4 linked regions of the Arabidopsis thaliana genome follow. The protein of the gene in region 2 binds, or shares a complex with, the protein of the main gene of each other region. Each region holds a gene or a part of one and is shown on either strand. Other genes may lie near its edges. The genes, in order: BGLU21, JAL31, BGLU22 and GLL22.

Region 1 (8,715 bases), on a different chromosome or scaffold from region 2:
GGTAATGAACAGATAAACCATAGCAAAAAGAAAACAGAACTTACACTTGGACGCCCATTTTTGTCATAGTGAATTGCATATCTTTTCAGCTCTCCAATTTCAGCATAGAGTTCCTAGATTCCATATGATAGTACAAACCAATTTCAGAAAACTCCACAGAACCAAAACAACAGAAGCACTGGAACATAGATGTCAGGCTATACCCTTATATCTTCATTTGTCACTCCCTGATCAAGGTTGGTAATATAAACTGTGGTTCCGACTTCCACTCCTGATACCCCAACAGCTCTAAGGGTTTCTTCATACAAATCATTCTGATTCTGCCATGGCAAGCTCCTCTTCCTGCGGGCAAGCTGATCCAGTAGAACATATCAAGTCAGCTAAAAGGGTCTGTAGAATCTTGAAGCCACATTAATCAACAAATTTCTTGAAAGAGGAGAAAACACCCATTTGGCTGAAAGTACTAAAGCAAAGAGCTCCAGGAAGAAGTAGTCAAGAACCATCCAAGGAGATACCAAATGAAACGTAGGGAAACAAGTAAATTTGACTAACTTCATATGAATCATACTGGTGTTATCAGTCAGTCTCTGAAGCCAAAAACGAAAACTGAGACTGCCGTCACACTCCGAAGAAATTCCAGATGTACCATCGTGAACTTCATGCATAGTGCAAATACCCCCACTTTGATAACCCATCATAAATCCTATTTACTGTTAAAATTTCTGAAATTCCCCCTAAAACCACACACATTTTCAGGCTTTATCCCCCTGTAGATAACCCTATGTGGACTACTTAGCTTAAAGGAGCTCCTCAATAAACCTATAGCGAGTGACAATATCAACCGAAAACTTCTGCACATCTATTCATGCCTCTTGAAGTTCCCAGATTTTAACCATAAAAACCACTAATTGCAGGAAAGAAGCTTTTCTAAGAAGATGTTAGAAGATTCTTGTAATCTGAATCATCATCAGAAGTAACGGTATATGCATGTATGATTCTTCTCCAAGGACAAAAGAGCATTAAAAGATCATCCATCTTAAGTTTTAGCATGCTTCGGTATTTGGTGGCACAGAGTTCCAATCAAGATTTCGAGCTTGCCTTGTTTATGGAGAAGGATGATGATGGCCGAGTATTAACAGCAAGAGGACCTCTACGAACAGGTCCACCTCCTCTTCCACCTCCTACAACACCATTAGGTCCACCACGTCCACGTCCACTCTTACGGGAAACTCCTTTACCTCCAGACCTTGCAGCTGCAGACCTTTCACTCTTACTCTTCTTCACAATTTCATCAAGAGTCATATTCAAAGCGTCTGACATCTTCAATCCAATAAAATCAAACTAAACCTGAACAAATTGGAGTTTAGAAAATTACAATTAGCTACCACCAACACAATGACAACACACGCCATCAAAATCGAAGGAGATCAAGCAATAATTATAAAATTCAAGCTCAAATACACAAATCAAGGACGGTGAATCATATCCACTGCTCGAATTCAAAGATCTGATTATCGGAACATATGAACCAATAGATTCCTAAAACCTAGAAAACAATTCTCATAAGCGATATCGAGAAAACACGAATCACTGCAAAATTTTAGACGGAAACTCGTAATCGCATCTCAGAAACATAGATCAAAGCCCTAGATCTAGATTCGTAATCGAAAAAGTGAAATCAATCGGAAACATTATACGCGAAACCAGATGAATCGAGAATCGAAACGTTACCAGATTAGGAGAAAAGACAGATCGGAGAAGATCGAGAGATCTGTGTTAGGGTTTTGAGGAAGCTTTTGGGGATTTTTTTTTTCTCTTGAGGATTTGATGAACGAAGGGGGGGAAATAGTTTGTGATTGAGATTACTGGTTAATGGAGAGGAGAAGGTATCTTTTTTTATATAGGACTAGGTCAGCAGGGTAATTATGTAACTTTTCTCGATTTAGGGGGGGCGTTTTGCGTCTCTTATCAAAAGTAGACAATTACCAAAAAACCGTAAGGGAAGATTGCCAGCTATGCGTTTCCGCGTTTAGTTAAAAATAGTTTATAAGATAAGGATTATACTTTTCGAAGATATCAAAAATGCCCCAGTTGTTTTTCTAATTGATATGTTGATACTACAATTTTTTTTTTTTTTTTTTATTGTGTATATGTAAGAATCTATCAATCTATCATTCCTACGGAACCTTTTTGGTACTCCTGAAAAACAAATCTTGATCAAACCTATATTTGCATATGCAGTTTAAGATTATGTCCAGTGGTGAGAACCTTCTATAGACTCTCACTATTTTTTTGTTTTATTTTTTTTTGGAAAGATTTATTAATTTTGTTATCTTTCCATGGTAGGTTCTCCAAGTAGGGTTCTTTAAAAGAAAGTGTATATGATCCTTTGTGGCTCAAGATCAGTTCCAATTTTATTATGTGATCCTTGTGCCTTGTAATAGATGTCTAAAGATGAGTGTTAAAGAGAAAAACAAACCAAAAGACATGACTCACTACAGAGCATAAATTACAGTATATGCATATATTTCAAATCTTACCAATTTGGTAGGTCTTGTCTTTCCTTTTTTGACAGACAATCCTTCCAACTCAGCTTCAAAGCTATCAATCTACGACTCTAGTTCACTCACTCACATATCAAAAGCACGAAAATAAGTAATGAATCAGCTACAGTACTGATAGGAGATGCTCCAAGAATTCTCAATTTTACAAAAGAAACAGTCTGAAAGTGAGTTGGCCTTTAAATTTTTTGCTTTTAAAAAAAAAATCTTGAAAATCACTATTTACATAAATCGTTTTTGATAAGTGACTACTAGTAAGATAGAATGTGATGATTTCATTATTAACACATACGTTTGATTGTTTTTTTTTGTTTTTTTTTGCTTGCTAAGAATGAAATATGAATTTCCAAAGTAATGAATGATGTTGGTATTGCATGGTGGATTTATTTGGTTGCATCATGCATGGATTTTATTTCCTTAAGGTATATAGAAAATACGCTTGGCCAAATGAGTGAAAAAGAGATATCTTCTCTTGCTGGTCGTCCTGTTTTTTAATCTAAACTAGTGACTTTCAAAAATAAAATATTAGAACTGTTTGGGAAAATGAATTGCCATTGTTTATTTCATCGCCAACGTTTAAGTTGTTAGTTTTTGAAATGTTTGTACTTAGTTGTTAAGACGACGTCAAATTATTTCCTAATCTATTTCTATGTATAGAGGTAAATTCGTATTTTTAATTTTCTAAAACTAATGATATTTTCTTACATCATTTTGTAACTCATAAATTTTTTAATGTTAAGGTTGTATGATTCAATTTTTCTTCAAGTTTGGAAGGTAAAACATATTTAACTTCACATATTGATTCTCAAAAAGGATAACGTCATTAAAACTAAAGCCTTCTTGATCTTGTCGAATAAGCTAGAGATTGAAGGAAAACGAAACACTTTTATTATTATTAACCACGACTCATGAATCGTGCGTGGTCAATCACAAACTAAAACATAGGAAAAACATCGAATAGAAAACGAAATCCTCAAAATATAACTTAAAGCTCATCCCTCTTGAGTGCGGATGGACGAACACCTTGAGCGAGGAAATCTTTGTAATACTTGGCTGATTCTTTCTCATAACGTGTGAGGTTATTTTTGAAATCGACGTAATAGAGTCCGAATCTGTTTTTGTAACCATCTTGCCATTCGAAGTTATCCAACAATGACCATACAAAGTATCCCGTAACTCTCACCTTATCGATGCTGCACAAACACAATTATGTTCTTAATTAGACCATTCAATAGAATCGTTAGTCAATCTATCAAATAATAAAAGGCTTACCAAATAGCCTCGTTCATAGCCAGAAGATGCCTCTGAAGATAATATTTCCTGTTATGATCAGCAGTACCAACGTCAACCGAATCTGTGGTCCCAAGTTTATCTCCATATCCTAGAAAAAACAACATTATAATGATCAGTATATTACTCTTAAGAGTTAAGATTAAATCAACACACAAATATAACAATAAATCTCGAGTTACCATTTTCCATTATCATAATCTCCGGGTTTGCGTATTTGTCCTTGATGTACTTTAAAAGCTTTCTAAATCCTTTAGCGTAGACGGGCAATGCAGCAGTAAGAGGCTGAAATAAAGCAATGGTGAAAATGTTATGTCGTAGACAAAAATTAACAATCACAAACTAGGACTAGTTTAATCAAACGCTTACCATGCTACCAATGGCGCTGTGATCTACATTCTTAGCTGAAAAATAAAAAGTGAAAATGTATGCATATCAATTAGTATTATAAAACCTTTTATCTTTAGTTTCTTGGTTTGGTTTCATGTACGGAAAACAAAAAAAAACTTACGTTCCCAGGAAACAAGAGAATCTTGCTTCCAACTTGGTTTAGACGGATCTGGCTTCTCATTATAATTTGAAAATGTCGAAGTATAGTAGTTAAGCCCTACGAAATCGGTCGAATCTTTCAATTTTGCTTTTTGTGCAGCAGTAAATTGAGGCAATCTGTAACCAAGAAGGTCTTTCATGATTTGTGGATAATCTCCCGAAGTAGTTGGCTCCAGATGCCTACACAAAATTAATAACTACATTAATTTTTATGAAATTATATACGAGAAACCATTTTCTAACATAATATATACTTACCATCCCAACATAAAGTCAAGTACACGGCTAACAGTTGGAGCGTCATTTGAATCTTTAAGATCATGTGGTTCGAACCAAGCCGGACTATGTGCGATTCCGATTTTCCCACCTTTAACCTATGTCCATAAACACAACACAAAACAACCTATTTTAAGATTCGAAACCTGATAATTAATTGTGATTTATATCTAATGTGACCTGATAATTAATTATGATTTATATCTAATGTAAACTACCTTTTGGCGGAAAACTTCAACAGCTTCTGCGTGAGCGTTGAGGAGATTGTGACTGACTAGATAAGCCTCTTTACCAGATTGTCCCTCTCGGTCTTCGCAACCTGGAACGTAGCGAGAACAACGTCCTGGTGCTTTCTTTCCTAAGTCGTAACCTGCGTGAGCAAAGACCCATGGCTCGTTGAAAGTGATCCAGTTTTTCACTTTTCCACCGTATTCAGTGAAAACATAATCTGCATATTCTCGAAAATCTTTCCTGTATTTTTGCAAAAAAAAAAGATACCAAATTAATAATTTCCATATAAACTTAACTAAATGTATTTTGTTTAATTTACAAAAACATACACAATGTTTTGGCTTAAGAAACCGCCATATTCGTCTTCCAAATCTTGTGGAGTGTCCCAATGGAAAACAGTCACAAACGGAACTATACCTATTTATGACGTAAAATAGAAAGAAATGTTAAATAAGGATACTATATTACTTGTATTTTTGTGAACTAGGTATTTTATATGTATATAACCATTTTTAAGGAGTTCATCGATGAGCTCGTGGTAGAATTGCACACCAGCTTGACTCACTCCCTTCTCCTTTCTCCCATCTAATAAAGCATTACAGTTTGTTTCATTAGTTATTGATACTTCAACATTCACATATACATCATCTAAATTCATTGGTTATTAGTATTATATAACAATCACATAAATCTAATTTCACCAAATTCGATTAAAACAAAATCAAACTAGAGATCTGCAGACATATACTCACGAGGAAATATTCTTGACCATGCGATTGAGAGTCTGAATGCATCTGTGTTTAGATTCTTCATTAGCTGAATATCTTCCTACAAACATTTTTAAGACAAGGCAAAATTTCAATAACATCTCGAGAATATAAGTTATGTTTGTCTTAAATTTATATTAATATATACCTTATAACGATGGAAGAAATCAACGGCCACATCGGCGTGGTCGCCACTACATCTCTCTGTAATTTGAAAGTAATTAAGAAAATTAATGGCTATGTATTGATATTAATTAGTTAAATTTAATTTAATATTTAAACATACTGTATTGAGAATGTAGATTATACGAGTACACTCACCTGGATTTCTTCTACAGTAGATATCCCATAGAGCCGGTCCACGACAAGTTTCATTAATTGCACCTTCGACCTAATGACATAACAAAAAATAGTTGATGAGTTGAGGAATATCACATGCACAAATGATTTCAAATGATAGGTATAACATATTTTGAGCAACTTTTACATAAAAAAAAACCATATTTTAAAAATATGGATTTGAATTCAGATAGAAACACAATAACGACACTACTTTTTGTTTTTTGAACTATGATTTAGTAAATCTGTTGTACCTGAAACGCAGCAGTAGCCGTGCCAAACAAAAACCCATTAGGGAAACTTGCTCGGCTTAGCTTGGAAGTCGCCGGGCAAACAGGATCATCAACCGCTGTTGTCACAGAGACGAGGATGGTTAGGAGCAAAAGCAGCCCCATGAGAGGAAACTTTTGCAATGCCATTTTTGTTTTTAGTTTCTTCTGGAAGAGAACAAGTTTATGATGATTTGTTTACATCCAATCGGAGTTCTTTATATAGCGATTTTGATTGTTTGTTAACGAGTGACTAAAATATAATTGTTTAGTAAAACTATTTTATATATAGGATGATTCATTGCATGACCTCGACCGTTGTGTTCTTACTTAGTTTGGAACATATTATATTGTGCGTGGAACTAATATAAGTTCTTCATCCATTTTGGATTTAATTATTTGATTAGTCCATTTTGGATATCATAATCTCCCAATATGATTATTTGTGTTTCATAATAAACCTTTTTCGGAATAACTCTTATGTACTTTGTCTATGGTTTCGATAATTAACTATGTTCATATATATATAAATATATAATATTGGTGTTTTATATAATTTAATAATTGTATATTATTTATTTGGTAATTTTTGGTTTAAACCACTGTCGCATCTACTGCTAAGCCAATCATAAAATTGCCGTAAATACACATATTTTTAACTGTAAACCAGTCATTTAAAATGTCCGATAACGTTTAAAACCTCAACCAATTACTTCCATTAACTTCCACAATGACAACCACACCCCGTTGCATTTAAACCAACGAAAACCCTAAATAATAACAAGCCTATTTTTGATACTCAAATAATTGGAGACTTTATTATTTTTCAAAACTTAATTGTAAAAACATATTTTTTAACTTGTTTAACGAACATTACTCTTAATCTTTCATAAATCAGTTTCTAATTCGAAAAAAAGTTATACCTTATTCTGAAAAAATTCAGGTAGCAAGTAAAGGATCTCTCATTTAATGTTTGGACTAATGAATGACTAAACTATATGAGTATGTATTTAGTAAGACTATTTTTATAGTATATAGGATGCTTCATGGCACGATCTCGATCATTGTATTATATATAGTTTAGTAAATCTATTTAATAAATAGGATGATTCATTGCATTATCTCGATCATTGACTAATTCTTACTTATTTTTCCTAGTTTGGAACATATTATATTGGGCGTGGAACATATAATATAAAAACGTGACTTAAAAATATATCATGTATGTCCAAAAAAAAAGTTTACAGCATGAGGAGTCCTCGAACCAATCGGCCGGCCCTAAGTCAATGGATCATTTAGTGCCTCGTATAGATCTAGATCGAGTTTTGGATCTTATTTTGTTATGGACGTTAAGTTATTAATGTGTTAGTGACTAAAATATAAATATATAATACAACTGTTTAATAGGATGACTCATTCCATGATCTATATGGTTTACATTACTTTTTTGTTTTCCAATATATAGTCCTCGTGTCTAAAACTCTAAACTAAATTATATCCTCTTTATATTTTATAATTGACACATTTTGCGCGAATAAAAAGACAAATCATTAACTATACAAATATACCATTACTTTATTAGATGATATTTCCTCTATTTCAAATTATATGATGTTTTAGATTAAAACACACACTTTAAGAAATTTATTTTTAATTATAAAATTTGTTCTCTTGATATTAAAAATACAAAATACAAACCAATAGTCAAATAATCAAATAAAATATATTTAAAAATTGCATTGATATTAGTAAAACATCCTAAATAAATCTCTGAAATATCCTATATAATGAATCAGAGTGAGTGTTAAATTTAAAACAAAAATATGAATAAATTAAAGAATAAACGTGGAAGTTTATTTGAAAAGTAAAATTGGAAATTTAAAATAACATGTTTTTTTTTGAAACAAAATAAAAATTCCACAAGAACACTAGTGGTTGTTATACAGAAGGACTATTATTAAATATTTTAAATTGGATGATTTCATTGCACGATATATAAACGTTGAGTTGTTTTTTATTTTTCTAAATCTTGAACGTATAATATTCATCATGCATAAACGTTGAGTTGTTTTTTTTATTGAACAGAAATAAAAATCCTCAAAATATAACTTAAAGCTCATCCCTCTTTATCGCGGATGGACTTAGGCCGTGTTCGTTTCATCAGTCAGATGGATCATCTAGATAGAGATGAGTTTTGATGTTCGTTTGGTGCCAAAAACGGTTCATTCAGATGATCTATCCAAATAAATCATCTGGATGACTTTGAAAATTTAAGCTAAATTTTGAAACTTATTTGGCTGAATTTAATTGGATCATTTGGATGGAGATGATCCAGTCAAAAATAACAAATAACAAAAATACCTTAATTATTTCAATTGATTATTTATATGTATTTTTTCGATAAAAAAACAAATAGACTTAAATCTTATTTTA
Region 2 (7,240 bases):
GCACGAAAAACTTCTAATGACTGATTTTGTCGGAAATAAGATGAGGTTTCATTTTATTTTATTTTGCCAATGAAGTTTTAGTTTTCAAGATGGGGAAATTGTGTTTCAGGATATTACATTGTTTCATTTCAATATTCTACAAGATTTGATAATTGTTAATGTTGTCGCAATTTAATATATCAAACCAAGAAAAGAAAAGAAAACAAAAACATTTTTCAGTAGTTGTTGACAGCAAAAAAATAGTCTAGCGTACATCATTGCGTGCCTGAATGTGGCAAGAAAGATTTGTGCCTAAGTATCTCGTTGTTTCGCGACTCGTGAATCGCGATCTTTAGTCAGATTGGGGTTATAAAAATGGATCAGCATACTAATTCAAAATCTTCTATAAAACGTTAAAGTTGACGTGTACGTCGACCCTGAAACTCGTTGACGTGGTGTGTTGTCTACGCGTGTTATTCAAGATCCAGATTGCGGAAATTTAGTTTTCTTATAAAAAATCCGCTAGGGGTAATAAAATACTTGAAAAACGATTTTCTTCACAAAACATGAATTCGCTCGCAAACAACTATTTCAAGTAGTAATGTTATATCATTCTACTCTACTGTTGTATTAAACTTCTCTCAATAGACTACTAATAAAAAAAAGGATATGAAGAAAAAATTGCTAAGAAAAAGAAGAAGAGGATAAGAATATAACAAGAAAATTAATTTCATGGTGATTTCAAGGTTACCGATAATTATAATTCTAATAACTAATCTTTTTTCAAGTTTGGTTGCTTGGTTGAAACGAGAGTAAAGGAGAGTAAGGTTTCGCAGCTTGTTGGTAAGCTTTTCAAGGATTGGTCGCTTCTCACTAATTATGAGCACAATAGACGGGGTCGTATTTGGGTTCTATGGCGTAAGAATGTGCGACTTAGTCCTATTTATAAGAGTGGTCAATTGCTGACTTGTTCGGTGAAGCTAGAAGATCGACAGGATGAATTTTTCTGTTCCTTTGTCTATGCTTCAAACTACGTGGAGGAGCGAAAAGTTTTATGGTCAGAACTGAAGGATCATTATGATTCTCCCATCATCATCAGATTTAATCCCTTTGGCATAATAGTCTTGCCAGCTTCAAGACCAAAGGGATTAGATGTTCGCATAATAGTCTTGAACCTAAGCATATGATAATGACCGCAGAGTCACTTCCAAAGATTTAATCGCATGTGCCATCGACAGCGGTGATGTATTCACTTGGATAATCAATGTCGAACTACAATGAAATCAAGCAAAACAACTTAATCTTGTCCGATGGAAACCGGTCTGACTTTAAGAAGGTATAAAATAACTAGTATAGTCACAATAGTCAAAGACCACAATGCCTAGGGAAGTTGTGGGATTAAACGGGTCACTTATTAAAAAAAAAGTCCGTATCTCGACCAACCAAGTTATAAAATAAATGGGTTCAAAATGCGTTTGGCCCGTTTAGGCCGCAGCGATATATAAGTACCTCTTTCCGTGTTCATCTCCAGCAACAACTTGAGAAGCATTGGCATACTCAAACTAACCGTGGACACACAATCGACAATCGTGGCCTTGACATATATACACCTTAACACTGTTGTAAGCACCATGCCACCATCGTCCCATGCAGTTCTTTTATCACTACCAAGTTCACCTTTTGAGCCATCATTGTTTGATTTTTACCAATCTTTGGAGTTTTTTTTGGGGTAAGAAGTGAAGTGAAAAAAAATATCTAAAGTTTAAACCGTTCACCAATAAGACTCTAATCTATAAAACAACCACTAGACTACGAAACATTTTTTCTTAGGAGTTACTAAAACTGCAAAAAACAAATTGTTAATTGCAACTATTAACCAAATTTTACTATAATATAGTATCATAAGAGATATAAAGGATGAGGATAAGTGGTGATCCATCCGAGTGGGCTGTACGTTAATTTATTGACCTCTTGGAATTAGCAAAGATATTTTACCAAAAAAGAATCTAATTAATATTCAAGAATAGATCCACATATAGGCCTCATTATTTAATTAATTAACACAATTCTAAATAATAGTAATCCATAATTCGTGATCCACGTTGAGTATTAAATTATTTTACCCAAGAAGGCTACATACTTTTATTATTTTCTTTATTTTTGGCCAACTCATATTATTTGCAACTAATAATATTTTTTAGCCGAAAACTTCTATATTTTGGCCACAATCTAGATAAAAAAAATTACGCAGGTATTTTTGTTTTGGAGAAAAGAAAACACCTATATTTTGGATCCAAAAAAATTTACTTTTGTTTTAAATTGTACAATTCGTACATTGAGATTTTTGTTTAATTATAGTAAGAGAATTAGTATCAGACGCAAATGGGAAATATATATCGGAACATTTGGGGATATAAAAATTAGAAGAGATGAAACAAACTTCCTTAATTAAAATGGAACACAACCACATCAAAGAAAAACCGGCAACACAAGATACAACACTTAAAAGTTAAAACACTTATCAGAGGTCACCAGAGGCATGAAGAGACCTCAAATGACCAATTTATAAGATAAAGATAAAGATCTCCATGGAATCAAAGATAAAGATCTTCATGGTCAGTTGGAAACGGGACGGACATGAACTCCAATTTTGTGGAGCAAAGCATCGGCTCTTCCATGGAAGCCAACGATTTTGTGGCCTTCCTCTTTGAGTTCGAAGGCAGTGCCAGCTTCAAGTCCAAAGGGAGGGGACGTTTGCTTATTAGTCTTGAACCTAAGCATAGTTATGACTGAGCCATCACTCCCAAAGATTTTATCGTAGGTGCCTTCGACTGCGATGATGTATTCACTTGGATAGTCAAGTACGAACTGCAGTTATTGGAACCTTGAATACGTCATCATGGAAATCGAAAGAAAATTTGAATTCTCTGATCAAAGCATATATATAGCTATATGTATATAACATTCATCAACAACAAAAAAAAAAAGAGAAAGAAAACATTATACCTCTTCGAATCCGAGTAGAGTACTCTTTCCATGTTCTTCTCCTGTGACCTCCTCAGGGCTTTTGTCGTATACAAACTTAACAGCCGATATACCATCTTGGGCTTGTCCTACGTACACCTTCTTAACCCCAACGTAAGCACCATCATCCCATGCTGTTCCATCATCACTACCAAGTGCCGGTAGCGGCTTGGCAGGAGTCAATGGGATAGTCAACGGAGCAAAGTAAGCTCCAAGAGAATTAAGATTGTCTCCGGCAGACCCATGAAAGCCAATGATCTTCTTGTCTTGAACTTGGAGAAATGATCTAGTACCACGATCGTATCCAATGAAACGAGAAGTCTTTTTGTTGGATATGAACCTAAGCCCTTGAATAAGACCATCAGGTTTATACCAAATTTCAATAGAAACTAGATGCTCCTCAGGATGGTTAATCACAAACTGTAGAGATCAAGTTCAATATGTCAATACTTCAACGTAAAACAATAGATTTTCTATAAAAATTAGAAGAAGTCAAATAAGCAAGGAAAATGTATAGGAACCGGATCAGTTGGAATGGTACTGCCTTTGATACCACGAAGAGGAGTTTGTTCGGTTTGTCCGTTCTTGACGTAATCGAACTGAATGTATTGAATTCCCATTCCGCCTACTGCAACCTGAATCTTGGTCACGGCGTCATGATCGGATCCATCGTCCCATTGGTTGCCTCCTTTCCCTCCTTTTGCTTCAACCTTTTGAGCCATATTTTGCTTGCTGATCAATCTTACTATAGTTACTATAATTGGAAAAAAAAACAAATTGTGAATTTTCAATTATTAACCAATTTTGTACTAATAGAGAGGAAAAGAGAGATGACCTTCAAAAGTGAGTAGATTGTGATCGATTTAAGTGAATCATAGGTGTTTATATTGACTTCTTGCATATAACCATATATCCGCATATAGGATCATTGATCGTACTAGCAGAAATAATAATCTATTATTTCGTGATCCACGAGGCATATTTAAAACATTACCGGAAGAAATACATGTTCAAATATTCATATACTCCTTTTTTACTTCCACAGCTTCTCAACTAATCGTCTTTATATTGGTGTTGGCCAATGAAACGATGGCAGCAAGCTAATTAGTTCTTTTAAAATTCACAGAGTCGTCAATTTTATTATATACGTTATTACTTGTAAAGGGTGCAAGTTGCAATTTATATAAGTCAGAATTCTACAATTAGTGACCCCCTTTTTAGGACTCTAATTGGTTGACGATTTGATAAGTCTTGTAAGAACATGTTTCCACAGCATTGTACATTATTTCAAACAGTAAAAGTATAATTGAAATCACCTAAGAGAAATTAGAACCAAGAGTATATATATAATACAATTTTCTGTAACGCTCAATCTAGAAACAAGAACCGGTTCGTATTTTTTGGCCAACTCATATACTTTTAACTAATAACTTTTTATGTTTGGAGAAGGCCAAAAACTTCAATATGGTCACACATTCTAGATAAAAACTTTGTGCAGGATTTTTTTACTGAGAAAATACGAACAACTATATATTTGATCCAAAAAAGTTAACATTTGCATTTTAAATTGTACAATTCATACGTTGAGATTTTAGTTTGAATTATAGCAAGTAAAATTAGTATCAGAACCAAATAATGGCAAAAGTAAGTATTATAGAACATATAGGGAAACTAAAGATCAGATTGGAACAAACTTCCTTTATTAAAATAGAGCACAAGAAGAACAAAGAAAAAACAACATCGCAAGAGACAACGCGTAAAACACTTATCAAAGATCACCATTCACCAGAGGCATGAAGAGACCTCATATGAGAAATTTAGAAGATAGATTTGATAACTTATTAGATGCATGGAATCAAGGATAAAGAGCTCCATCATCAGTTGGATAAAGGACGAACATGGACTCCAATTTTGTGGAGCAGAACATCGGCTCTTCCATGGAAACCAACGATCTTGTGGCCTTCCTCTTTGAGTTCGAAGACTGTGCCAGCTTCAAGTCCAAAGGGAGGAGACGTTTGCTTATTAGTCTTGAACCTGAGCATAGTTATGACTGAGCCATCACTCCCAAAGATTTTATCATAAGTGCCATCGACTGCGGTGATGTATTCACTTGGATAGTCAAGTACGAACTGCAGTTATTGGAAACCAAATAAAACAATTGAATACATTATGATGGAAACCGGAAGAGAATTTGAATTCTCTGATGTATAATTTTTACATTCAACAAAAAGAGCAAAGAAAGTATTATACCTCTTCGAATCCGAGTAGAGTACTCTTTCCATGTTCTTCTCCTGTGACCTCCTCAGGGCTTTTGTCGTACACAAACTTAACAGCTGAGATTCCATCTTGGGCTTGTCCAACGTACACCTTCTTAACCCCAACGTAAGCACCATCATCCCATACAGTTCCGTCATCACTACCAAATGCCGTTAGCTGCTTGGCAGGAGTCAACGGAGTTGTAGTAGTCAACGGAGCAAAGTAAGCCCCAAGAGAATTAAGATTGCCCCCGGCAGACCCATGAAAGCCAATGATCTTCTTGTCTTTAACTTGTAGAGTGAAGTGAGTACCCTCATCGGATCCAATGACATCAGAAGTCTTCTTGTTGGAGATGAACTTAATTCCTTGAATGATACCTTCAGGGCTATACCAACCTTCTACAGAAACTAGATGTTCGTCTGGATGGTTAATCACAAACTGTAGAAATAGATCAAGATGAAAATGTCAAAACTTCAAAATATAACAGTATACATATAGAAAGAAGAAGATTAATGGGCAAGGAAAATATAGGAACCGGATCAGCTGGGAGAACACGGCCTTTGGTACCACGAAGAGGAGCTTGTTCGGGTTGTCCGTTCTTGACATAATCAAACTGAACATATTGAATTCCGTCTATGCCTGCTGCGAGCTGAATCTTGGTCACGGCGTCATGTGTCGATCCATCGTCCCATAGGTTGGCTCCTTTCCCTCCTTGTGCTTCCACCTTTTGGGCCATCTTCTGCTTCTTGATAGTACTTACGAATTTCTGTAGTTGCAAAAATAAATTGTTAATATCTACTATTAACCAATTTTTACATAATAGAGAAGAATAGAGATAAGACCTTTTAAAGAGAGTAGATTGTTATCGGTGCTATGATCAATTAAAGTGAATTGTATGTTTATTTATATTGACTTCTTGATATTGATCGTACTAGATGAAATAATAAGGGAAATAATAATTTATTCTTTCGTGATCCACGAGGCATATTTATATAAAAAGCATTACTGGGAAAAACGCATGTTCATATACATTTTTTTTTTTAGATAATGAAAATATTCATATACTTCTACTTGCACAACTTCTCAACTAATCGTCTTTATATTGGCGTTGGCCCATTAAACGATGGCAGCAAGCTAATTCATTGTTTTAAAATTTAAAGAATCGTTTATCAATTAGATTATGTACGATTAATTATTTGTAAAGGGCTAAAGTTGCAAGTTGCAACATATATATACGTTCTCCTTATTAAGAGTCTAATTGGTTAAGATTTGGTAATTATTGTATGAACATGTTTTAAAGCCTTAATCATAATTTAAAAACAGTAACGTTTAATTCAAATCACCGAAGATTAATTAGAAGTTTAGAACCAAAGAGGAGACTAGATATATCATACAATATTCCGTAAAAAAAATCTAGATACAAGAACCGGATCATATGGATCTAGCCATAAAGAATACTCCAAAATATCACAACTAGTTTTAATAACTCTTAGGGAAATTTACGAATTCCTCTGAATTCAAAACTGCTTTTTTTTTTTTTATAACTGATTTATGAAATATTATAAAATTTTGCGAAGAATATTTCTAAAACAAATTCTGTATTCGTTGGTAAAAAGATTTATAATTGTATCATTTACACTGGTACTAAATATTAATCTAATTGAGAGACGCTTAATATGATTCATAAATTATCAAAAAAGCTTTCTAGCTCGACTGCAAATGTACCATGGGATATTCCAAGAAGTCGCACGATCGAATGAAAGCTGGTACGTATAAATTATTAAAAGTTGATCTAGATCATCAATCAAGAAAACATCCTATTTAACAAAAACAAAGGTTAACATGTAGTATGTATTTATTTATATAATTATCTGTTGCGAATGTGAAACAATCGATAGAAATTACACTAGCTAAGTAATTAATAATAACTATTTGATCATCTATAACTATATTATTCAATACTTATATGATCAAAATATGT
Region 3 (8,723 bases), on a different chromosome or scaffold from region 2:
TGAGAGCTTGGTTTCTTTAAAGCTCTCTGAAGTAACTTTGACAAAGCCCGAGTTCGTATCACTACCGTCTCTGAAAGTTTTGGTTCTAGATTGGGTTGAGTTTTACAATGAGTTCGCTTTCGACATGCTTATGTCAGGCTGCCCAGTCCTCGAAAGCTTTACGTTATGCAGAAGGTACCTTGACAATGTAAGAGTTTTACGTGTCATCTCTCAATCTCTATTAAGCTTCAACTATTACGGCTCTAGTAGTAAGAGCTTTCGTGATGATCTAGTGGTTATATTGGATGCTCCAAAGCTTGAGAAACTCAAGCTCTCACATCAATTAACTGCAAGTTTCATAATAGAGAATCTGAGTTCCCTTGTAGAGGCGGATATCGATATTGAGTTTAACTTTTGTCGGGGGAAAAAGTTTGATCCGGATGATCTGCCAAAGAGAGAAATGATTCGTAATTTTCTTGTCGGACTCTCTCGTGTCAAAACTATGACAATCGCTGCATGTACTCTTGAGGTATCGTTTGTTGAATTCGTATTTTATTGTTTTACTTTATCATGTATAACTTTATTCTGATACTTTTCTTGTATTTATTTTTGTTGTAGGTCATTTATGATTACTCAAGATGTGAACCACTGCCGTTGTTTCCTAACTTATCTTTCTTCAGTGTTGAATTCTATCAGAAAAGATGGGAAATATTGCCATTCTTTTTTAAGAGCTGCTCGAATTTAAAATCCCTGGTCTTGGTAAGGATTTGTTTACTTAAAACTTATCAACTTTCTTTGGTAACATAATCACTCAAACTTGTTTCGTTCACTTGGGTGTAATATCAGGAATCTGATTACTTTCCAAGGAAGAGAACTAGTATTATATCTGAACCTCGGTGTCTCCTATCATCTCTCGAGTATGTTAAGATAGAATTTGCATTGGACAAGGGGAAGATGGAATTAGTGAGATACTTACTTGAGAACTCACCAATCCTCAAGAAACTCACTTTATCATTGGATCATTCTTCTAGAAAGAAATCTTGTGTCATCCTCAGAGAACTCATTACAATTCCAAGATGCTCGACCTCTTGCCGAGTCATCGTTCTCTGATCCTCGTTGAAGAACATACAAGGTTTGCCTTTCTGTACTTTTATTAATGTGAACTCTGTGGTTTCCTTCTCTATTATGGTGACTTTGTTGTGTAGTAGATCTGTAAGAAGATCATATGTTTGTCTTAAATGTTTCAATTGAACCAAAAATGTAATAAGGTTCGTGTAAGAACCAAGGATTCAAATTTTCAGAAACTCTTTATTTATGTGAACTATTTGCTTTCTTCTTCATTGTGGTGACTTTGAATGTCTTGTAGATCTTAAGAGATCTTATGTTTGGCCTAAATGTGTAATGCTGTTACTTCTTTTGACTCAAAGACATGTTTTTGCTCATTAGTAATTCAGACTTCGAGTAGAAAAATAGATAATGGATTACAAAAACGAAAAATAAAATAAAGATGCTTCAAATTTAACCTAAAATAGTATTAGATCTTTGTAAGACACTAAGACCCAAGGATTAAACATTCTAGGAACTAAATTATAATTAAACTCTTGGAAAATTAAGATCTATTTGTTTAGGAGCTTTTAAGATATACATGTCTAGGCTTTAATGAGCTTTACGACCGAAGAAAATTAGAGAGCTTGTGATTTTGATCATGATCTGAGTGAGTCTCAAAAACTAAAAGGAGGACAATAAGGAAGATTCGGATTGAATTCTTTAAACTAGTTAACTAGGTTAATTGTTTTATGGGCCTGTTATGTTAAGTTAATAATTTTTGGGGCCTTTTATCTTCAACATATAAAGGGCTCTTCTATTGTTTTTTTCCAACTCCAACAACTAAAATACAAACAAATTTTGGACCTTTTAATTTGTGGACCGTAGCAGATGCCCATGTTTCCATGGGTGAGAGACGGACCTGAGGTGGTCGCAACTCGCAACCGACGTTCAGAGGGAGAAGCGGAGGTGGTGGTGGAAGCAAAGAGAGTTAGATGATGGCTGTGGTGAGGACTATGTAAAGTGTAAACATGTGTCACTTATCTTTGCTTATTTTACAGTTGGAGGAAATGCCGAAATTGTATGTACCAAGAAAATATACATGTATCTGTTTTTATACTTGTTTTAATGTCTACAGTGTTCGATAAAGATACCCTGATCAACTTCATAATGTAACAAAAATGAAGTCATGTATCACCGTAGTGGAGTTAGGTTTGATGAATTTTAAAAATAAAACTAATTCAACTAGCTTAAAATTAATTATCGCCAAATAAGTACCAAACGTAGCCCGGGCTAAACCTTAGTATTTTAAATATGCTAAAAATCTATTTACAGATAGATGGTGCATCGCCATCAAGTAGCAAAATAAGCGTCAGCGCAATACTATCAACGAAAAAAGATGGTATGTTAAAAAAAGGTTTCTAGCTACTACATATTCGATTTAAATATTTATCAAAGTAATAATAATCTACAATGTGATTTACTGATCATAATGCGTGGAAGGTGGAACCTATTATATTGTTAATACTTAACAATATTATCAAAGTACAATAATGTGATTGCTGATGCATCGTGACGTAAAACAAGAACACCTTCAAAGTCAAACACCAAGAGAGATTGTCGTTACATGTGTTTTTAATGATATATAAGGAAGCTTCATTATTTTGGAGTTATACAACGACTTTCATTCAGTCACATTTAATATATATTTGTTGCTTAATCGTGACACATGTCGAATTTATTTTATTTTTTAGTATTTAATAGTTTTATATTTAATTGGAAGTTTCCATTTCCTTGACTACGCCATAAAGATACACAAAGACTCTTAACTGATCCAGATCATTGAAGTAACCAAGGGTAAGTAATTGAACTGGCCATAGTTAGTAAAAGATTGTACCAACCGTTTCTTCATTCTTAGGAGAGCAAAAAAAACTAGTCGCAGTGTATTCTTCTTCTATGACGACTAGACGAGAGTAGTGAGTCGCAATGTGCTTTGGTAGGGCATCAGCTAAGAGGAATACACATATTTTTAAGTTGCTTTCTTCCAAGGTACAATATTTGACATATATATGGACTTGTAAACTTACCAGATTTTCTGATCATGTAAATAGTAGCTTTCAATGTCCTCGATCACAAAGGCCATGAAGTGTAGCATTTTGAGAAATGGTCATTCCAAATCTAAATGGACTTTCTCATTGAGTTGTTTGAAAGAAAAATAATCAATTACACCACCAATTGATCGACCAAGAAAAATGTTTGGTGAATAATAGTTACCCCAATTTGTGTTTTTTTGGGCAAAAAAGTTGCCCCACATTTATATTTTAATTTTGATGCCTAAATTTCGTTGATCTTAATTAGGCTTTACCGCACTGTCCTGACAGCAGTCAGCATGCGACTAGAATGTGACCAATTGTTTGTCCGAAACCGAAGATTACTCATTCCAAACTCCCAGTCTAATTGGAGGTTGTGTCTTGATATCTAATAACTTGTTTGATAACCATTATAAGGTCTTTTGCTTAGGTTTTACGGTCCATAAGTTACCAATGTATCCTATGATCAGGACGACTACTACAGGTTCAAGATTTTGAAGATATAGGTCATACACTAGATTTTCTTATTTATAATTGTATAGTTTAGCTTAGTCACCCGGGATCTCTCATCGAATGAATCATCCTATTTAAATAATAGTCAAGCGGAAACCAATAATGAAAGATTATATTAAGTTATGAAAACGTCAATAATAATCATGATTAAGATAAGATCGAAAACACCATTTGGATGATTAGATCTATCTATATAGTAAAATAAAATAAACATTATCAACGAGGCCTGGTTGTGGCATATTAAAAACAAGACATTAATGAGAGATCAGTATCGCTATAAAAAACGACACTAACATATAAATGAACCATCCTAAAATTGTTTTCTTAATCAAGACAAAAGAAAAAAAAGAAAACTAAAAACCAAAATGTCATTGCAAAAGTTTCTCATGGGGACACGTTGCTCCTAACCACCATCGTATACAATAGTTAAATAATTGTATACTATCTTAGTGGGATAAGTAAATGAAAGTTTATTCAATAAATATTAATATCTTAAACGTCAATAATACCTAAAGTAAGATCCAAAAACTCGATCTGGATCATTACTATAGAAAATTAAAGAAAATGATTAACGAGGCCTTGTTGGCATATCTTTTTCTTTTCTTGTAAAACAGATCTGGTTGCATATTTGAAAGTAGACATTAAATGAGAGATCCGTTGATTATGGAAGATTAAATGTTAATATTGTTGCTCGTTAAACACGAGAAATATTATTAAGACGAAGGTGCAACAATAGATGAAGACTTCAGTTATAGGACATACACGATTTTTTTTTTTTTTTGATAGGATACACTATTTATTTAAAGGCACGTTTTTATTATATGTTCCACGCGTAATATAATATGTTCCAAACTTTGAAAAATAAGTAAGAACACACCTATATATAAAATAAATTTATTAAACAAATATAGTTTAGTGACTTATTTGTCATTACCAAACAATCAAAATCACTATATAATTAAGAACTCTGTTTAGATGTAAACAAATCATCACAAACTTGTTCTCTTCCAAAAGACCAAAAATTAGAAACCATGGCATTGCAAAAGTTCCCTCTCCTGGGGCTTCTTTTTCTCATAACCATTGTCGTCTCTTCGACAATAGCCGTCGATGATCCTGTGTGCCCAACGACGTCCAAACTAAGCCGAGCAAGTTTCCCTAATGGGTTTGTGTTTGGCACAGCTACTGCTGCGTTTCAGGTAAACTGTGAGACATCAAAATGAATTATTTACTACACTATACTTCAAAAATATGTATTAGTGTTGTGTCTCCATCAAAATTCAAGCCTAAGTCCAAATGCTGAATTCAAACATATGTTATTACCTCAACTCATCAGCTATTTTCGTTATGTCATTAGGTTGAAGGTGCAATTAATGAAACTTGTCGTGGACCTGCTCTATGGGATATCTTCTGTAAGAGAAATCCAGGTGAGTGTATAATCTATATTTTCTATACAATATCTTTAGATATCTAAATTCATTCACTTTTTATTTTTAAATTACAGAGAGATGTAGTGGCCACAACGCCGATGTGGCCGTTGATTTCTTCCATCGTTATAAGGTAAATATATATATGTATTTTGAATCTAAATTTAAAGTATATTCAAAAGAAAAAAAACATCTTTACAATAAAGTGCCTCTTGTTTGAAAAGAATTTTGAGAAAATTAACTCAGAGGATGCTTACAAAACTTTGAAATGGTTAGACCCTTGAGAGGAGCCACACTGTATATATAATATATTAATATAAAGTTGAGGTATATATTAATATAAATTTAAGGTATATATTAATATAATTTTAAGACAAATATAACTTATATTTTATACTTTTAGTTTGCTGATATTATACGAGATATTATTGAAAATTTGTCTCGTCTTAAAAATGTTTGTAGGAAGATATTCAACTAATGAAGAATCTAAACACAGACGCATTCAGACTCTCAATCGCATGGTCAAGAATATTTCCTCGTGAGTATATGTCTGCAGATCTCTAGTTTGATTTAGTAATCGAATTTGGTGAATTGATATATAAATCAATAACTAATGAATTTTACATTTATTGACTAATCAAACAAACTAACGGGTTTTTAGATGGGAGAAAGGAGAAGGGAGTGAGTCAAGCTGGTGTGAAATTCTACCACGACCTGATCGATGAGCTCCTTAAAAATGGTTATATACATATAAACTAATTAATTAAAAAAGACAAGAAATATAGTATCATTATTTAACATTTCTATCTATTTTTACATTGTAACTAGGTATAATTCCGTTTGTGACTGTTTTCCATTGGGACACTCCACAAGATTTAGAAGACGAATATGGCGGTTTCTTAAGCGAGAACATTGTGTATGTTTTTGTAAATTGAAACAAAATACATCTAATTAAATTTTATATGGAAATTATTAGTTTAATATCATTTTTTGCAAAAATACAGGAAAGATTTCCGAGAATATGCAGATTATGTTTTCACTGAATACGGTGGAAAAGTGAAAAACTGGATCACTTTCAACGAGCCATGGGTCTTCGCTCATGCAGGTTACGACGTAGGCAAGAAGGCGCCAGGACGTTGTTCTCGCTACCTTAAAGGTTGTGAAGACCGAGATGGACGATCAGGTTATGAGGCTTATCTAGTTAGTCACAACCTCCTCAACGCTCATGCAGAAGCTGTTGAAGTTTTCCGCCAAAAGGTAATTTACATTAGATATATATATCAAAATTAACTATCAGGTTTTGGATATGAATATAATTTGTTTTGTGTTGTGTTAATGGACATTTTGTAGGTTAAAGGTGGGAAAATTGGAATCGCACATAGTCCGGCTTGGTTCGAACCACATGATCTTAAAGATTCAAATGACGTTCCAACTGTTAGCCGTGTACTTGACTTTATGTTGGGATGGTAGGTATATACTTTGATAAAATGGGGTCTTGTATACAATTTCATATAATTGATGGAGTTTTGATTATTATTTGTAGGCATCTAGACCCAACTACTTTTGGAGATTATCCACAAATCATGAAAGACCTTCTTGGTCACAGATTGCCCAAATTCACTTCTTCACAAAAAGCAAAATTGAAAGATTCGACCGATTTCGTAGGGCTTAACTACTATACTTCAACATTTTCAAACCATAATGAAAAGCCAGATCCGTCTACACCAAGTTGGAAGCAAGATTCTCTTGTTGCTTGGGAACGTAAGTTTTTTTTTCCTTACATGAAACCAAACCAAGAAACTAAGAGAAAATGTTTTCTTTATAATACTAATTGATATGTATACATTTTCACTTTTAAATTTCAGCTAAGAATGTAGATCACAGCGCCATTGGTAGCCAGGTATGCGTTAAACTAAACTAGTCCTAGTTTGAGATTGTTTTAACAACTAAACAATTAAAATATTTCTCTCAACGACATAACATCTATCACCATTGTTTTATTTTCAGCCTCTTACCGCTGCATTGCCCGTCTACGCTAAAGGTTTTAGAAGTCTTTTAAAGTACATCAAAGATAAATACGCAAACCCGGAAATTATGATCATGGAAAATGGTAACTCGAGATTTATGGTTACTGTGTGTTGATTTAGTTTGGAGTTAAAATATATATTCATCTTAATGTTGTTGTTTTTCTAGGATATGGAGATAAACTTAAGGACAAAGATTCGGTTGAGGTTGGTACTGCTGATTATAACAGGAAATACTATCTTCAGAGGCATCTTCTAGCTATGAACGAAGCTATTTGGTAACCGTTTACTATTTATTTATTTAGAGAACAATTCTATGGAATGATCTAATCAAGAAAATTTGTGTATGTGCAGCATTGACAAAGTGAGAGTTACGGGATACTTTGTATGGTCATTATTAGATAACTTTGAATGGCAAGATGGTTATAATAACAGATTCGGACTCTATTACGTCGATTTCAAAAATAACCTCACACGTTATGAGAAAGAATCAGCCAAGTACTACAAAGATTTCCTCGGTCAAGGTGTTCGTCCATCCGCGCTCAAGAAGGATGAGCTTTAAGTTATATTTTGAGGATTTGGTTTTCTGTTCAATGCTTCTTTCCTATGTTTTAGTTTGTGATTGATCATGATTCATGAAGTCTTGGTTAATAATAATAAAAGTGTTTTGTATTCCTTCAGTTTCTAGCTTATTTGACATGATCAAGAATGCTTTAGTATAAATATATTATCCTTATATGAAGGTATCTTTACCTTCAAAACATGAAGAAATATTGTATTATATATATTAAAAAAAGTCTTAAATTTACAAAAGGACTGATGTTTTTAAATATGAAGTAAAAATATCATAGTTTTTAAAATATTGAAAATACGAATTTACCTCTATTTAAAGAAATAGATTATGCAATAACTAGACGTCGTCTTAACAACTAAATCGTGCAAATATTTTAATGACTAATAACTTCAACAACTTAAACCGCTTGGCGATGAAATAAAACAATGGAAATAGTTTAACATTTTTAGAAAATCACCATGATTTGAGATCGGATAAGATGTCACACCGTAGCTACAAGTTTGAGATTAATCTTTCCAAACAATTTAGATAAAATCAAGTTACATAATTTGATATCGGATAAGATAAGACAATGTACATAAAAATGAACACAACATAATATCAGCAAGATGGTTCTAATATAACAGATTGGGATTCTACTACGTCAATTTTAAAAATAATCTCAATGTTATGAGAAACAATCAGCCAGGTATTACAAAGATTTCTTTGGTCAAGGTTTTAAGGCCCTGTTCGTTTCTACATTTGATAGATCCATCCAACTGATCCATTCAACATGTCTATTTGGATGATTTATTTAACTCTTGTTCGTTTCATTTTTAGTCGGTTCATTTGACTGGACCATCCGAATGAGATGTTCGTTTGCTTATCTCTATCTCCATCCAAATGATTTGTAATAATACAAATACCTAAACTACCCATGCTTTCATCTAATTATATTTTTTATTATTACTTGTAAACATGTTAATTTTAATTCTTAATCTAAAATATATTTAAAAGTAAATAAATTTCAAATAATAGTTTTTTACATTTATAAATTTATTTTACGGTTTTGGCGGGAAAACGTGGTTTTACAGTT
Region 4 (7,925 bases), on a different chromosome or scaffold from region 2:
TGGAATGGTAAATATCATCAGTTTTTTACTACTGTTCCATTTCACTAGAAATGTTGTTTTGATATTCTTCATGCGCAACCTTAAATGTTTCTGTTTTTATGTACTTACAAAAACTATTAACTCTTGGAATTTTGGTTTATTTCATAATTGATGTTAATGAATTTTCATTTTGACTTTAATAGATATTGAAATATTAGTTAATGGTATTTATTTGAAAGAGAAAAAAATTTAGAAAGATATTTAAATTGAAATAAAGGGCGTAGAAATTAAAACAATTGTGTAATTTTTATTACTTTAACCGATGATATATAGTGTTATTTGATTAATTGATATGTTCCACTTCTTCTTTTTTATCATGTAAGGTGATAAATTTGGGAACACAGTTAAACAACTTCAAAGATGTTGAAAAGAGCTTGAGATCTGAACTAGGAGATGCAGAAACCAAAAGGGTTTTCTCAAGAGCTGTTTATCTGTTTCATATCGGGGCCAACGACTATTTTTATCCTTTCTCTGCAAACTCCTCAACTTTCAAATCCAACTCCAAAGAGAAATTCGTCGATTTTGTTATCGGTAACATTACATTCGTTATCGAGGTAAACAAAAATCGGAAAATAATTTCAAATATTTACCTTTTTTCTAAAACTGAGTTATATATATATGTTATGTGATCTTAGGAAGTGTATAAAATGGGAGGAAGAAAGTTTGGATTTTTGAACGTGGGACCGTACGAATGTTCACCAAATTCATTGATAAGAGACCGAACAAAGATAGGATCTTGTTTCAAACCTGTCGCTGAGCTTATCGACATGCACAACAAGAAGTTTCCCGATGTTTTAAGGCGGCTACAACGCCAATTATCGGGTTTTAGATACGCCCTTCATGACTATCACACTTCTCTTTCCGAAAGAATCAACAGTCCTTCAAAATATGGTTACTAAACTTGGTATTTACATATATGTAAGAGATCGATCTATAGGTTACCTTTAAGAACATTTTGTGTTATGTTTGTTAATTTTTAGGGTTCAAGGAAGGGAAGAAGGCATGTTGTGGAAGCGGACCACTGAGAGGAATCAATACGTGTGGAAACAGAATAGGACCGTCGCAAGGTTACGGCCTATGCGAAAACGTTACCGATTATTTGTTCTATGATTCCTCTCATTTGACGGAAAAGGCTCATCGACAAATCGCAGAGCTGATTTGGAACGGGCCGCCTAATGTCACTAGACCTTATAATCTCAAAGCTTTATTTGAACTTAGGCTTACATAAAAATCGCCTATATGTATGTATATGAAAATAACTGACGAGGTCACTATATATTGTCTAATAATGTTAGTCATGTAATTTTTTGAGTTAGGATAATAATAAAATCGATTAGTTTTTTTGTGTGGAAAGGAGAACAATTCTATGGTGAAAGTAAATAAACTTGATGAAATACTAAGGTACAAAGACAATTAGATAGACACAAGAAACAAGCATGTCGTAGCAGAAACCTTATTATTAGGGCTTATTTGCGTTGACCTTTCTTGCACGGGAAGATTAGCCGCCAGCGCGAGAAAAACCATTAATAACCCTACGACGATTGTTAATTTTTTTGTACGAATGTAAATTTGATTCACCAAAAACAACTTTGTTTACATTATGCAATAATTTGTTTAAATTTAAATGTTGAGCTTAAATTTTAATTAGGAAAACAGTTTGTATTTTGAAATATTAGAGACGTCTTGTGGCAAACCAGTTACACAAAGCATCATCAAACTTGCCTTTACCGTGAGTCTTTAGATCGGACTGTTCGATCGATATCCTTGATGAGGTTAGTCGCTGTTGAAAGTTGTTCCTCATGTCTTCTCATATTTTTTTCTCTACATATTGTATAAACTGCAATTTGGAAAGTACATGACCTCATATGTGTTGATGTGTGAGACTGTAGTGTGAACCAGAAACTTCGGCAGTCACCAACGTGTTGAATAGTAATATAAACAGTTGAGTTTTTCAATTATATACGACAAATAAAATGTTACCATATTAGACGGATCTACTATATTTATCATGTGATGGATCCAAATCGTTTTACTACTATTTTATGGAATTAATTATCAACATTGAACGTAGATAAAGGAGAGATAAAGTCAAGATCGGTGTGTTGCTTCAATTATTGAGATTTTTAAATTATACTATTTCAATTTGTATGTTTTAACTTATGTCCAGATTTAGCGTCATTTTTTTCTTATTTAAATAGAAAAAAAATACTTAAACTTATGACCAGATTTAGCGGATGAGATTTGTTTGGTCTTATTATATTTTTATTTTCCTGTCGCTTATGATCCACAAAATCAGATCACTAATGCCCACTATATGTATTTACTGTAATAAAATAATCCCAACTGGTAATGATATTTATTTTCAGTTTGGGAGTATTATATTTTCCCAGCTGGTAAAAGATACTTTATCATATTCGTTTTATAATTATAATTAGCTTATTGTTGGGTCAAAAGAAACCAAAAGGAATTAGCTTATTATTTTAATTCGGTGTCATAAAACGAATCAGTCATATATTTTTACATAATTTATACTTACTCTGTTTCTTTTTGTTTAATTGTTTAGAAAAAAAATTATTTCAAAAATATTGATTTTTTAGATTTTTAATACAATAGTTATTAGTTATAATTGATAAATTGTAAACTTCAATACAAATTAGTAAATATCATTGGTTTAGAGTTATTGAAAATTGTAAATCACAAAAAACAATACATTTAAAAGCAACATTTAATATATTTTCTTAATATTTATGTTTTTTCTAAAAAATCAAACAAAAATGAACAGAAGGAATATAAGATATCGAATAGATTAGAGTAAATCGATAGACTAATGAACTCTCGATAAATTCCAGGACGTGGAAAGAGTTGATAAGATCAATCTTTTATTATAGAGAAAAACTCACTAGAGAAACAGGAAAACATTGCAAATCAAAAACATCAAGATTCCGATTTTGATTCGGTTATAAATTAACTCATGACCATTGTAGAAAACCTGATTGACCCTAAAGATTGAGTTTTAAAAAGACTCAGTAATACTCGTAACCGCGGCTAGTGGACGAGCTAGAGTCGCTGGCGTGGACAGTAGCTGGCGTTGGAGGCACCCAAAATTCACGCATGGGTTCATCGACTGGGTAAACAGTAAGCTCACGGACGTTCATCGGTTGGACAACATTTGTATCGGCTCCAAAAAGAAGATGGGCAAACATTTCTTGCGCCTTCTCGGAGTTGTGACGTCCGTCGAAGAATAGGAAAGACCGTTGGTACTCACATAGCTTCGAATGCACGTTAGGTAAACCGCAACCATAAGCATCGTGAGATCCAACTCCGCAGCACGATGCGTTCGTGACGAAAAACCCTAAGAATGACAAATATTAATGACTTGGTATTAGAAGTTATAAAACTAAAACAAATGAAATTAAACCATGATAATTAACCAACTCACGGAAGTTTTGGTTCCTCTGCGTCCTAGTAAGAACGGCATTGTAGAAATCAAAGACGGTGAATTGGAAAGGAGCTGATGCAGGAGAGTTTCTAGCCATTTCGTTCAACATCGGTCCAATTTTTTCGTTGTGTTGTTTAGCCAAATCGTTGAGTTTCTCATAGCATTGATCCATCCCGGTGTTGTATTCTTGTCTGACGATGGGTAAGCAACCCAATGGAGCTAAGGTTTGGATCACGAATTTACTCGCTCCTGATGAATACAACGCGCTAATATCGTTCTTTAACTTGTTGGTCACGGAAGTAACAAAAGCTTGTTGAGCAGATGCATCAGCGGTAGGGTTGTTCTTGGTGAAATTTAAGTAATCGTTTGCACCAATGTATATCATAAATACTGACTTTGCCACGAAATCATCGTTCCAATTTGCTGCTTTCATTTGATTGAATTTTTTCACTTGTTGATTCAGAGTCATCTAAAGAACCAAAAAAGAGAAAAAGACAAAAATTAAACCAATATTATAAGTGCAATTAAAGTAAAGCTTATTGATATTAAGTCACATGCTTTTCTGTGAAGTAAAACAAAAAGAATCCCGCTTAGTATGACCGGGTCAATAATAGACAGATATAATTGATTTTCTTTGAATTAGGTGTTGACTATAGATATATACATGACTCTTATATAATAAGAAATTAAGTTTACTTACAGATTCCACCGGAGCTCCGAGTAGAGTAGCACCTTCGACGGCGAAACTAGCTCCACGTGAGACATTGACGTTCGGTTGAAGCGCCGGCGCGATCGCGAGCGGAATCTTCATGAATTTAGCTGCATTTTGTATTTTAAAAATATTTTAGTTTTTCATATAATATCAAATCATTCCTTGTACTACATCTCCGAATCTGTTGACGAAAATAATAAATAAAATTTCATAGAATGTGTCCCGAAAAGTGAATAGCCGCTGAACCAATGCATTTATAATCTTTTTTTTAATCATACTATTTACTATTTTTTAAGTAATTCACTAGTAGCATACTTAAAATGCATTTATAAATACTACTGTTTATGATTATTTTTACGTAATCATACTATTTTTAACATACTTAATGTTTTAAAGATTAGAGTAGGATTCGATTAGAAAAGAAGTCGTACCGAGGAAGTCCGGAGTGATGAGGCCGTCGGAGAATTTGCCGTTGGGATCATCTCGAGATTTTCCGTACGGCCAGAAACCTTGAGCGACTAAGGTTTTGGTGAGAGTCTGTTTGTTTCCGGCGTCGAAGTTGGAGTCACCAAAGGTGAACAAGGCGACCACCGGACTATTCTGTCCGGCGACAGTGATGGGGTTGTGAAAGAGGGTCAATACCAAAATTACACATAGAACACTGACTAAATTACAGTTGTTTGCCATCATTTAGAGAGAGGGAGAAACAGAACTGTGAAAAGAGAAGAAGATTGCTTTTGTGCCTTAGCTCGTAGACCGATTCGTTATATTTATATTGCAAGTACTACAATTTGGCAATGAAAATAATAGTTCATTTTACTATACAAATAATAACGTGTAGCGCGAGGTTCATTTTACTATACACCTATTTAACGCACTAGCAAACGATTATCGATCAATTATATTATATAGTTCGCTTAATCACGTCTGACGCATTACTGGTTTCTCTTCTACTTTATTTTTAATTCTCAACAAAATATCTATTGTTACTACGAGTACCAAGAAAGATCGTGCTTTTTTTTTTTTGGTTCAACAACAACTTACAATTACACAAGAGTCTGAATACACATAAGCTTTAACCCAATCCGGCAATATAGAATACAATTTGGGATCATAATTCAGAAAAGAAAGAGATTCCCTAGCAATTCTATCTGCCACACAATTCCCTTCTCATCGGGTAAAAGTCACTTTAACCTCTTCGAAGTGCTGAAAAGATCGTGCATTTAGAGGCAAGAAGTAGAATTAAACATACAAATTTCACGGAAATATAGGGTGTAAATGGTAACACTAAACCAGATTCAGTAATTTCTGCAGTAACCATTTGCATAAAACTAAATTTTGCTGACTAGCCAAATTCAACAAAAAAATTTCAACACCAACATATACGTAGATATGTTTATTTCTGCTAAAACTTTTGGATAATTTACGAGTACACAACTCGAATTAAAATATTTTTAATATCAAAATACATATCAAATAGATATTTTTAAATAAGTCAGATTATACTGATACGATATATGAATAATATAGATACATAAAATATCACTACCAGAATAGACAAGAGACGAATATGTTCGGATAATTATAGATAATTTGGATAATAATTTTAATAACGTTTAGATAACTTAAATCAATTATTAAAATTTTGCAAAAACAACTCATACCTATGCTAAGATATTCTTTAAAAGATAAATTATAGTAATTTCCTTAATCATCCTCATCATATTATTGATTAAATTACTTGAAAACAATTAAAAAAAACAATTAACAATCTATATTTTATCATCATGTTAATTTTTGAAATTATTTTCTTAATAGTGTTTTGACAAAGATTTTCGTTAATTATTTACATATTTTTAATAGTTCAAATTTAAATAAGAAAGAATAACTCAATTTTGCGTTGACACAATCTTAATAGTATAGGTAATAGCTTAGTTATGTATATATAAATTATAAAAACTTGTGGAGAGTTGTTCCTTAAGATTTACAGTGAAGATTAGAGAAGATTAAGTTTTGAGAGAGTGTCTATATCAAATACAGAAGAGTTGGTCCTTATTCGTTTGTAAGTTCTAGTAATTATCAATTTGATTGGAATCATTAGAACGACAGAAAGGTGAACAATTTTGTTTCTAAAAGAGTGCAGAAACTAGATAAAAATAAAACACATTTGCTTACGTGAAGATGAAGTTTTATATGAAGAACGCCTCATTTGTTTGGTTCATCTATTATCTATATATATGATTTTTGGTTTTATTTCATATGAAAATTAACTGTAAATATAGCCGGCCCCAAAGCCAGATGTATAAACTTATCTTTTCTGGAACTTTATAATTTCTACTTTTTATTTTCTTTGTTGCCAATCATTTCGAATATTACCTTGCAAGAATAATTGCAAACAAAAAAAGAGGGTAAAAAAGGTCTCAAATTGAATCCACTACCTTCTTAAATTGATTCCACCAAAATTTATCATTTTGTTCTAATGGAGTGCATGTGGCCCGAAACTTGTCTAATCTGAGCACAAAGCAGGTCATTGGACACGCTTTGGTTCATATTGTCAGGTTTATCACGTTACTCATTGAGATTTTTCTTATGGAAAAAACAGAGTTGAGGTTACATTATTATTTTAAATCTCAACAAATTAATAACAGCGCATTTCAAATTCCAAGAGCTCGTTCATGGTATAGAGATGGAAAATAGTGAGCTCAAGAACTAAACGAGTTAGATAGATTCACTAGCATCGACGTCGACGTCATGGACTAACGATGATATTCTCATCCATTGGATCCTCCCAAAACTCACGCATAGGCTCATTAACAGGATACACAATGAGCTCACGAACATTCATAGGTTGGATAACATTTGGGTCCGCTCCAAAAGATAAGATGATGAGAAAACGCTTCTTGTGCCTTCTTTTTTTAATTATGGAATTACCTTTTAATATGTGGTTGACAAAAAAAAGAAATAAATTTATGTAAAAGTTTTGTTTCTTTTAAATAAAAGATTTGCAAGGGGTAAGAGTTGCAGAGATCAATCTTTTATTATGGAGGAAAACTCACTAGAGAAACATGAAAACATTGGAAATTAAAACTACTCAAGATTCCGATATTGATCCAGTTATAATTTGACTCATAACCCTTATAGAAACCCCGATCGATCCCTAAATATTGATTTTAGAGACTCAGTAATACTCGTAACCGCGGCTCTCCCTGAGTTGAACGGTGGCTGACGTTGGGGGCACCCAAGACTCACGCATAGGTTCATCGGCAGGGTAAACGACAAGCTCACGGATGTTCATCGGTTGGATAACATTTGTATCGGCTCCAAAAAGAAGATGACCAAACATCTCTTGCGCCTTCTCAGTGTTGTGACGTCCGTCGAAGAATAGGTAAGACCGTTGGTACTCGCATAGCCTCGAATGTACGTTAGGAAAACCGCAACCATAAGCATCATGTGTCCCAACTCCGCAGCACGATGCGTTCGTAACGAAAAATCCTAAGAATGGCAAATATTAAACACATGGTATTAGAAGTTATAAAAAAATTTAAAAATGAAATTAAACCATGATAATTAACCAACTCACGGAAGTTTTGGTTCCTCTGCGTCCTAGTAAGAATCGCGTTGTAGAAATCAAAGACGGTGAATTGGAAAGGAGCTGATGCAGGAGCTGTTCTAGCCAATTCGTTCAACATCGGTCCAATTTTTTCGTTGTGTTGTTTAGCCAAATCGTTGAGTTTC

The links.
Region 1: JAL31 (region 2) and BGLU21 share a complex: the UniProt entries of both Arabidopsis thaliana proteins name them as parts of the PYK10 complex.
Region 3: JAL31 (region 2) and BGLU22 share a complex: the UniProt entries of both Arabidopsis thaliana proteins name them as parts of the PYK10 complex.
Region 4: JAL31 (region 2) and GLL22 share a complex: the UniProt entries of both Arabidopsis thaliana proteins name them as parts of the PYK10 complex.

The regions. Positions count from the first base shown.
Region 1 is NC_003070.9:24,696,564-24,705,278, forward strand, and holds BGLU21 (Glycosyl hydrolase superfamily protein), read right to left. Parts: upstream 6,604-8,715; 5' UTR 6,433-6,603; coding exon 6,268-6,432; intron 6,066-6,267; coding exon 5,996-6,065; intron 5,879-5,995; coding exon 5,823-5,878; intron 5,736-5,822; coding exon 5,660-5,735; intron 5,493-5,659; coding exon 5,415-5,492; intron 5,325-5,414; coding exon 5,237-5,324; intron 5,148-5,236; coding exon 4,895-5,147; intron 4,775-4,894; coding exon 4,659-4,774; intron 4,581-4,658; coding exon 4,363-4,580; intron 4,256-4,362; coding exon 4,221-4,255; intron 4,137-4,220; coding exon 4,034-4,136; intron 3,943-4,033; coding exon 3,834-3,942; intron 3,755-3,833; coding exon 3,547-3,754; 3' UTR 3,305-3,546; downstream 1-3,304. Other genes in the region: AT1G66260 (RNA-binding (RRM/RBD/RNP motifs) family protein), read right to left, coding at 45-113, 204-353, 1,099-1,320. UniProt on the Arabidopsis thaliana protein: Beta-D-glucosidase active on scopolin >> esculin >> 4-MU-glucoside > DIMBOA-glucoside. No activity with pNP-glucoside, oNP-glucoside and sinigrin as substrates.
Region 2 is NC_003074.8:5,578,315-5,585,554, reverse strand, and holds JAL31 (jacalin-related lectin 31), read right to left. Parts: upstream 3,988-7,240; 5' UTR 3,839-3,987; exon of another isoform or gene 3,758-3,838; 5' UTR 3,726-3,757; coding exon 3,525-3,725; intron 3,424-3,524; coding exon 2,986-3,423; intron 2,848-2,985; coding exon 2,596-2,847; 3' UTR 2,368-2,595; downstream 1-2,367. Other genes in the region: AT3G16432 (uncharacterized protein), read right to left, coding at 1,427-1,612; PBP1 (PYK10-binding protein 1), read right to left, coding at 4,881-5,132, 5,254-5,697, 5,795-5,995. UniProt on the Arabidopsis thaliana protein: Polymerizer-type lectin that may facilitate the correct polymerization of BGLU23/PYK10 upon tissue damage. Activates BGLU21, BGLU22 and BGLU23.
Region 3 is NC_003070.9:24,705,672-24,714,394, reverse strand, and holds BGLU22 (Glycosyl hydrolase superfamily protein), read left to right. Parts: upstream 1-4,398; 5' UTR 4,399-4,657; coding exon 4,658-4,822; intron 4,823-4,980; coding exon 4,981-5,050; intron 5,051-5,127; coding exon 5,128-5,183; intron 5,184-5,512; coding exon 5,513-5,588; intron 5,589-5,711; coding exon 5,712-5,789; intron 5,790-5,878; coding exon 5,879-5,966; intron 5,967-6,054; coding exon 6,055-6,307; intron 6,308-6,400; coding exon 6,401-6,516; intron 6,517-6,593; coding exon 6,594-6,811; intron 6,812-6,915; coding exon 6,916-6,950; intron 6,951-7,057; coding exon 7,058-7,160; intron 7,161-7,243; coding exon 7,244-7,352; intron 7,353-7,428; coding exon 7,429-7,636; 3' UTR 7,637-7,883; downstream 7,884-8,723. Other genes in the region: AT1G66290 (F-box/RNI-like superfamily protein), read left to right, coding at 1-508, 598-738, 826-1,089. UniProt on the Arabidopsis thaliana protein: Beta-D-glucosidase active on scopolin >> esculin >> 4-MU-glucoside. No activity with DIMBOA-glucoside, pNP-glucoside, oNP-glucoside and sinigrin as substrates.
Region 4 is NC_003070.9:20,151,486-20,159,410, forward strand, and holds GLL22 (GDSL-like Lipase/Acylhydrolase superfamily protein), read right to left. Parts: upstream 5,036-7,925; 5' UTR 4,881-5,035; coding exon 4,622-4,880; intron 4,298-4,621; coding exon 4,179-4,297; intron 3,948-4,178; coding exon 3,479-3,947; intron 3,392-3,478; coding exon 3,063-3,391; 3' UTR 2,669-3,062; downstream 1-2,668. Other genes in the region: GLIP3 (GDSL-motif lipase 3), read left to right, coding at 1-7, 363-593, 675-930, 1,020-1,267; AT1G54010 (GDSL-like Lipase/Acylhydrolase superfamily protein), read right to left, coding at 7,369-7,682, 7,771-7,925.